Elephas maximus indicus: one gene and its partner. The protein of the gene in region 2 purifies or fractionates together with the protein of the main gene of each other region. This does not show direct contact. Links are inferred from orthologs where the notes say so. Each region holds a gene or a part of one and is shown on either strand. Other genes may lie near its edges.

Region 1 (3,744 bases), on a different chromosome or scaffold from region 2:
AAACACAAAATGAGCTATAAACAAATAACGAACTCTAGTTAAATACACCAATGTTTAGAAGTGAAGCAGACTAATGTCTTCAATTTTTTTTTTAACCGAACTCCAAAACAAACCCATTGCTGTCAAGTTGATACTGACTCATAGAGACCCACAGGACAGAGCAAAACTGTCCCCCTAGAGTTTACAGAAGCCGACTGCCACATCTTTCTCCCTTGGAGAAGCTGGTATGTTCCAACTGCTCACCTTTCAGTTAGCAGCTGAGTGCCTAACCACTGCGCCATCAGGGCTCCTCTATAAAGATTACAGCTTCGGAAACCCTATTGGGGCAGCTTTACTTTTGTGATACAGGGTCACTATGAGTCGACTGACTCGATGGCACTAACAACTGTGATAAATCTTATGGGGGGAAAACAGGGTAAGGGGACAGAGAGAGGCAGGAAGACACGTTGGAGAGTGCCTGGTAACCAGTGAGGATTCATAATATATTTGTTAAACAAAAACTTCATGACATAAAAAGTGGTGAATTAATTTTTTATGTGTTCAGGGAAATAGTCTAGCTATCCTCAAAAGAACCCATGAGGTATCCACAGGAGGAAAATGAGGCACAGAGAACTGACACATGAGTCACCAATATAGAGATGGAAACTGCAATGGAAATCACCTCGCTCACAGCCCCTCGAAAATGGTCATTTACGTAGGGAGGCCAGAGCTGAGTGCACTGACCTATGACGTCACTGGGACGCTGACACCTCCTACACCTGGACGTAGCCCCATTTCCCTTCTCGAGCGGGTCCTCCGGTAGTAGGGCAGGATCTGGAGCAAGGCTCTCATTGGTAATTCGCTCCGTCAATCCGTTTCACTCCTCCAGTCTTCCGCTCCGCCTTCCTGACCTCGCCTCTGATAGGCTAGTGCGGCCATCACTTCAGAAAGGTCCGCATTCCTTCCGCCTTTCTCCAGGAGACAGAAGGCTAAGGGGGCGGGCTCCAGACGGCGCCCACCCCGGAGGCTCTGCTTCCGCCTCTGATTGGCTTTGTCGGGTGCCAGTTGCTCGGCCGCCCGTCGCTGATTGGCCACTCGACCGCCGCTCTGTGCCACTCCGGCTCCGCCCCCGCTGGGTGTTTGTGGTGGGGCTGCGGAGTCGCCGATCCCGCCGGAAGCGCCAGGACAATGGGGACCCGGGACGACGAGTACGACTACCTATTCAAAGGTGCGGTCGGTGGGACACCGACAGGCGAGGGCGCGGCAACGAGGCGGCGGGCAGACGAGTCGAGGCTGCGCTCCGGGCCGTTGGGCCCAGGCCGGAGCTCGGGACCTGGGACCCGTCAGGTCCAGCAGCGAGGAAGGCCGGGCAGACTGGGTTCCGTTAGCTCCAGGCCGGAGTGCGCGGCTGCGAGCAACCGGCGGCCCTGGGAGGCCTGGGGACCCGGGATGCGCCGGGGCGGGGTCGGGGCCCAGAGGGGGTGGGGCCCGGAGCGGTGGGAGAGGCCGTTGGGGTGGGGCCTTCGGAGGGGGCGGGGCCGCCCGGGATTTGGCGGGCCGGGCTGGGCTGGATGGATGACAGAGGGTGGGCCTTCGGGGCGGGGCCAATACATGGTGGGCGTGTCTGAGATGTGGACTGGTTCTGAGCTCAGGGGGCGGGACTCTGGGGTGGGCTGGGCCAGGCCTGTTGGGGGCGGGGCTCGCGAGGGGTGGGGCGGATAATAAGGGGTGTGCCGTCGTGGGGGTCCGAGGTGAGGTACGTAGTGGGGCGACCCTGGACTGGGGTGCACATCCTGAATGGGGCGGAGGAGCGCCTGTGTCTGCACCTGGACCTGGTGAAGAACAGAACTAATGATACTAGATGCTTGATAGCACTCACCAAGTATCTTGTCTTTTCTAAGCAGTTTGCACACAGAAATTTATTCAAATCCTCTCCACAATCCTATAAGGTCGTTATGACTCCAGCTCTTTTTTCACAGATTAGGAAACTGAGACCCAGAGAGACAAGGACAGCTAGTAAGTATTAGAGGCAGTTTTGAACCCTAACCTAGGGAGTGTGTTTGAAGGGCCTTGGCACCAGGACTGGGACTCAGGGCTGTTAGACCACCTCCCAACACATGCAGGCTGATGGCACCAGCATTGGCCAACCTTCTGGGGATCTTCCCTGCCCAAGGAGCACCAAGTATGGCCTACGCGGTTCTAGCCAGCCATTGCTTGCTGGGACCAGCTGAGGAGCTCCTTCATCCTGCCCCTGGAGCTGAGGAGACTCCCTCCCTGTCACTGGAGACTCTGTGCTGTTTTAGGGGTCATTGGCTTTGCAGGAGTCCCTGGTGGTACAAACCATTAAGTGCTTGACTGTTAAGCAAAGAGTTGGTGATTTGAACCCACTCGGAGACACCTTGGAAGAAAGGCCTGGCGATCGGCTTCCAAAAGGTCACAGCCTTGGAGCACAGTTCTACTCTGATTCCACTCTGACACACATGGGTTTGCCATGAGTCTGAATTGACTCCACAGGCACTGGTTTGGTTTTTGGCTTTTGGTTTTGCAGCGGTTTGCATGCAAAGCTGAGCAGTGACCAGGTGCTCTCCTGGGCTCCCTGGCTGACAGTGATCACCCTAGAGAGCTGCTGACTGCCTGCTGCCTGCTGTGTGAGGATTTGCCTCCCATGTCAGCTGAGGGCATCTTGCTCCCAATGGGGTCCGTGTCCAGAGCAGGCCTTGCCACCTCTTGTGTCTGTGGTATCATCTGTCATCTTGAGGCCAGGCCTGGGGTCCTTGAGATGAGAAGAGTGGGGTGCAGGTCTCCTTGCCTGGGGTATCCATGCAGCAAAAAGCTTCCAGGCAGAGAGAGCCCCTGTGCAAAGGCCCAGCAGCATCACAGCCCCATGGGCTTGGGACCTGCCAGCAGGCTGATGCATTGCTGGCAGACACAGCTGTCTGTTCAGTGAGGCCTGAATGTTGGGACCTTACCCTAAAGCTGGGGGGTGCTTTGGAGGGACCCTCTGGGGACGAGTGACCAGCCTCCAGTCCTGTCACACTGGTCCAATCTGCACTCAGCCTACACAGAGGCAGCTACTCTGTAGATCCCTGCTGGGCACCCGCCCTCTGTGGCCCCGCCAGAGCAGCGGGACTTTTCCAGGTCCCTGTGTCAGCTTGCGGTGTATTGGGTACTGATTATTCTCGACCTTTCATTGTTATAAATAACCCGGTACTGAGGATTTGTGCAAGCCATCGTCTTTTGCCCTTTGGGCTCTTTCCTTGAAGTGTGTTCCCAGAAGTAGTTACTGGGTCAGGGGCAACAAAGCGGCCATGCAGTTCCCAGGATGAATCCCCAGAGTCCGCTTCCTGGAAACGCCAGTGTGACTTCGGCAGCAGCTGGCGCGGGGGGTGGCGGGGCGGGGGGGGTGGGGGGTCGGGGGGGCCCTCCTGCCTGCCTTGCTGCCTTCCCCCCCACTGGCCTCCTTTCATGAGCAGGTGCCCTGCTGACCTTCTTGAGGTGGTTTGGTAGTGGATGTCCAGCCCACAAGATCAGCATTTCCCGGACTATGGACGTAGGAGGTGTCACCTTAACCTTACTATGTGCCTCCATCCTAGGACCATCTACTGTCGTTGAATATTTTTCTTTAAGTTCCCTCATTTTGTCACTCAGGTAAATTTTTTGGGAAAGGAAGCTCTCTGTGACCTTGGACCATGGTGACGCCATGTGTGCAAAGTAGAACTGCTCCATAGAGTTTTCCAGGTCGTGACTTTTCAGAAGCAGACCGCC
Region 2 (3,744 bases):
AGCCCAGAGACAAAGAGGAAGGAGAGACTAAGAGGGCCCCACCCAAGGGCCCCAGTGAGGGAGAAATGGGGAACCTTGGGGACAGCCCCTCGCCCTGATGACTGGTTTGGCAATCCTGTTTCGGTTCATCCTGTCTTTCCTTCGCCTAATTTAGCTTCACCTCATTCGGTGAGAGCAGGGCAAAATAGGACACGCCTACACCGACCACACTGCAGGGTGGTGGCTTTTTACTTTTCCCTTTTCAGGCCCAGAAATAAGCCTTTTCCTTCCCCATCCACCCGGCGCCTATCTTCCTCCTGAGCAATGTTCGAGGCGTGCAGAAGTGGCAAAGAGCAGTGAGTTTATAGAGAGCTCACAGTGGGCCAGGCACTGTGCTGAGAACGGTAATGCATTATTTTTTCCTCCACAGTTCAATGCAGCGATCGTTACCTCATTGTACAAACGAAGAAGCTGAGACTTAAAGTCGCTAATTAATCTGCGCATGGTCACACACCTACCAAATGGCTATGTAAAGACTGGAAATGAGGTCTGACTACTAAGTCAGCGGAGCTTGCGACCCCATCGCTCACCCACCGCCTCTCAGATCCGAATTCTCGAACCCCGGGCGCCTTCCACGTCCTGTCCTCGCTCTGCCCCAGCCGCACCAGCTCCGCCCCAAGCACCCCGGACGGCGGAGGCGGGGCTGGGGCGCGGGCAGGTGGGGCGGGAAGGGGCGGGGGCGTGGCCGGGGAGGAGGGCCCTGGCGGGGGCGTGGCCGGGAGAGGAGGGCCCTGGCGGGGGCGTGGCTGGGGAAGAAGGCCCTGGCGGGGGCGTGGCCGGGAGTGGAGGGCCCAGGCGGGGGCGTGGCCGGGAGAGGAGGGCCGTGGCGGGGGCGTGGCCGGGGAGGAGGGCCCTGGCGGGGGCGTGGCCGGGGAGGAGGGCCCTGGCGGGGGCGTGGCCGGGGAGGAGGGCCCTGGCGGGGGCGTGGCCGGGAGAGGAGGGCCCTGGCGGGGGCGTGGCCGGAAGCCTTAAAGTTGCCGGGGCGGCAGGGCGGGCCGTTGAGGCGGCGGGTCGCGGTGATCGTCTCACGTCCGAGCGGACTGTGCCGCCGTCACCATGTCCCTGGCGGCCTCGGCGGACCGGGGCGCGGGGTCCTTGTGGTCCCCAACCCACGTGCAGGTGACGGTATTGCAGGCACGGGGCCTGCGGTCCAAGGGCCCCGGGGGCACGAGCGACGCGTACGCGGTGATCCAGGTGGGCAAGGAGAAGTACGCCACCTCGGTGTCCGAGCGCACCCTGGGCGCGCCCGTGTGGCGGGAGGAAGCCACCTTCGAGCTGCCGCCGCTGCTGTCCTCCGGGGCGGCCCCCGCGGCCGCCTCCACCCTGCAGCTCACCGTGCTGCACCGCGCGCTGCTCGGCCTCGACAAGTTCCTGGGCCGCGCCGAGGTGGACCTGCGGGAGCTGCACCGGGACCAGGGCCGCAGGAAGACCCAGTGAGTGCGGGCCGGGGGAGGGGAGAGGCAGCGGAGGAAGGCGCGGGCCCCTGGGGCAGTGGGACACGGGGTGGGAGGGAGGAGAAACATGCGGCCTCGACGCTGAGACCCTTTTAGAGTGAGCGCGACAGTCACGGTGCGTGTTTCAAGGGCACGGACGAAGAGAAGCTCTTCGAGAGGGACCCTCTCTACCAATACTCCTACTCTCACCCGGCTTCACTTCTTCGGCTGTGCGCCCTAGCTTTCCCTGTATTTGAGCTCCTTGAAAGTAGGGGCGGCACCTGGGGGAATTTTAAATCTGCAGGAGGCTGCTCAGCCCCTGGCACATTCATAGTAAGCTCTTAATGACTTTTTGATGAATCGAAAATGTATGTAGGTCAGGCGAATTCCTCCTTATGTGGGTCGTGTGGATATGTGATACGATTATTAATTTATGTAGAAAGTCTCCTGGGTATTTCACTGGCCTGGGCACTCGGAGTTAAGGGATGGGCCAGGGCGGTGGGGATTAACTGGAGAATTGAGACTCACTGACGCCCTGGGGCAGAGTAGAGGCATTACAGTACGGATGGGTGGGGGTGGGACACGGGGAATGCAGGCTGCCCAGTGAGAGCTAACCCACTGCCCACCCGGCGCGGTAATGCCTGAGGCCCAGGGAGAATGCTAGAAGAGTTTAGTCTTTCCTTTTAGGCTGAAAAATATTAACCCTGTTTACCCTGGGCCTCATATTACTAAAAATTTCCCAGTGATGGCTGGAGCCAGGGTCACCCCTTGGCCAAGTGGAACTGGGAAGCCGGCATTGTTTCTCTTTGGAGTTTGTCAAGCTCCCCTCTGTGATCTTAATCCTAATGGATGGCTGCTCATCTGTATCTCCCCCATCAAGGGTTCTGTGTCAGGGTATCTGTTTCCCACACAGAAAGCTGGTCAAAACCCAGTTCACTCCAGTGTGTTACCAATTTATTTGTTCTCTTTCACAGGTGCTTGGAAAGGGCAATGCTTAACCCAATGGAACACTCAATAATTATTCTCATCTAGTTAGTATACCAAAGGAACCCTGGTGGCGCAGTGGTTAAGAGTTTGGCTGCTGACCAAAAGGTCAGCAGTTGGAAACCACCAGCCACTCCTTGGAGACTCTATGGGTTAGTTCTACTCTGTCCTATAGGGTCATTATGAGTTGGAATCTACTCAAAGGCACTGGGTTTGGTTTTTTTCTTCTTCTTCTTTTTTTTTGGTATACCAAAAGCTGGCCTTGCTGATTTTAGTTGGGACACTTTCTTGGACCTTAAATATACAAGCCAATCAGGTCACCACCTAAATTCTACAGTTTATGAAGTACACTGATTCAGTTTGTGTGTCTTGTATACACCTAATATTTTAACTTTCCCTTGTAAGGGAGATAGGAAAAGCTAGAGGATTTGAAGTTACCAGGCTCCCTGTTCTATAGGGTGAGTCCAGTTTGAGCATGCATGTTTGCAAATGCAATACCTGATTCATTTATCTGGCCAAAGATGAAAAGACTTCTGAACTCAAAGCAGATAAAAAGTAGAGAGCCTTGATGTGAAGATGGATGGGGTATCTCTTGGCATCAAATTACAAGCCACAAAGTGAGCAGTGTCATCGTTCAAGAGGGGCTGAAGCAATGCTAATTTTCCATCTGATTAAATGACGTTTGGAATGATAAGTTGGCATCCTTTTCAACTTCATCTGGGTGCTGTTGACCATCCTTTATCTTGTCCTGCCCCAGGATGTGTGGATATTAACTTTCATCACAGCTATCTGTTTCTTCTGTGAACATTTTATCCCCTTGAAAGATGAATCTCATCTCCCGGCCAGAGATGGGGATTCCAGATTCCTGGGTCTGGTGCCAGCTTTGGTCCTGACTAATTGTTGGGCTTCAGGCTGCTTGGTCTCTTAAACACCCGAGTTTTCCTATTTATAAAGGAAGCTTGTTGCCAGCCCTAATTGATGTTTGTAAGACGTTTCTGGCTTCCTGGATTAAAGGGACCAGTGTATAGATTCAAAAGATTCTGTAACTGGTTTGTGAGGAATGAAAACCTTTGTAAGCTCCCTTTTTCAGGAAGAGTTCAGTCTCTGCACCTTCACTTTTCTCATCCTCTTCAGTGTAATCTTTGATGGCTACTCTTATTTTATGAGCTGATTACCGCTGAAGTTACTGTATGACTATCAGGGAGATGGTGCTTAGTTGATGGTTTTTAATAACTGCAAAGGACTTCTTTGTTTCTTTACCACTAGGTGGAATTGCAAGCTTCCATTC

The links. The genes of interacting proteins can lie anywhere in the genome.
Region 1: the proteins of RAB11FIP1 (region 2) and RAB11B purify together in Homo sapiens (affinity purification with mass spectrometry; 3 studies listed by BioGRID and IntAct, counting the BioPlex papers as one, with this or other methods). This does not show direct contact. The link is inferred for Elephas maximus indicus from reciprocal best matches to the Homo sapiens genes RAB11FIP1 and RAB11B.

The regions. Positions count from the first base shown.
Region 1 is NC_064821.1:13,114,573-13,118,316, forward strand, and holds the start of RAB11B (ras-related protein Rab-11B), read left to right. Parts: upstream 1-1,096; 5' UTR 1,097-1,167; coding exon 1,168-1,207; intron 1,208-3,744. UniProt on the Homo sapiens protein: The small GTPases Rab are key regulators of intracellular membrane trafficking, from the formation of transport vesicles to their fusion with membranes.
Region 2 is NC_064840.1:62,789,043-62,792,786, forward strand, and holds the start of RAB11FIP1 (rab11 family-interacting protein 1), read left to right. Parts: upstream 1-1,022; 5' UTR 1,023-1,095; coding exon 1,096-1,472; intron 1,473-3,744. UniProt on the Homo sapiens protein: A Rab11 effector protein involved in the endosomal recycling process. Also involved in controlling membrane trafficking along the phagocytic pathway and in phagocytosis. Interaction with RAB14 may function in the process of neurite formation.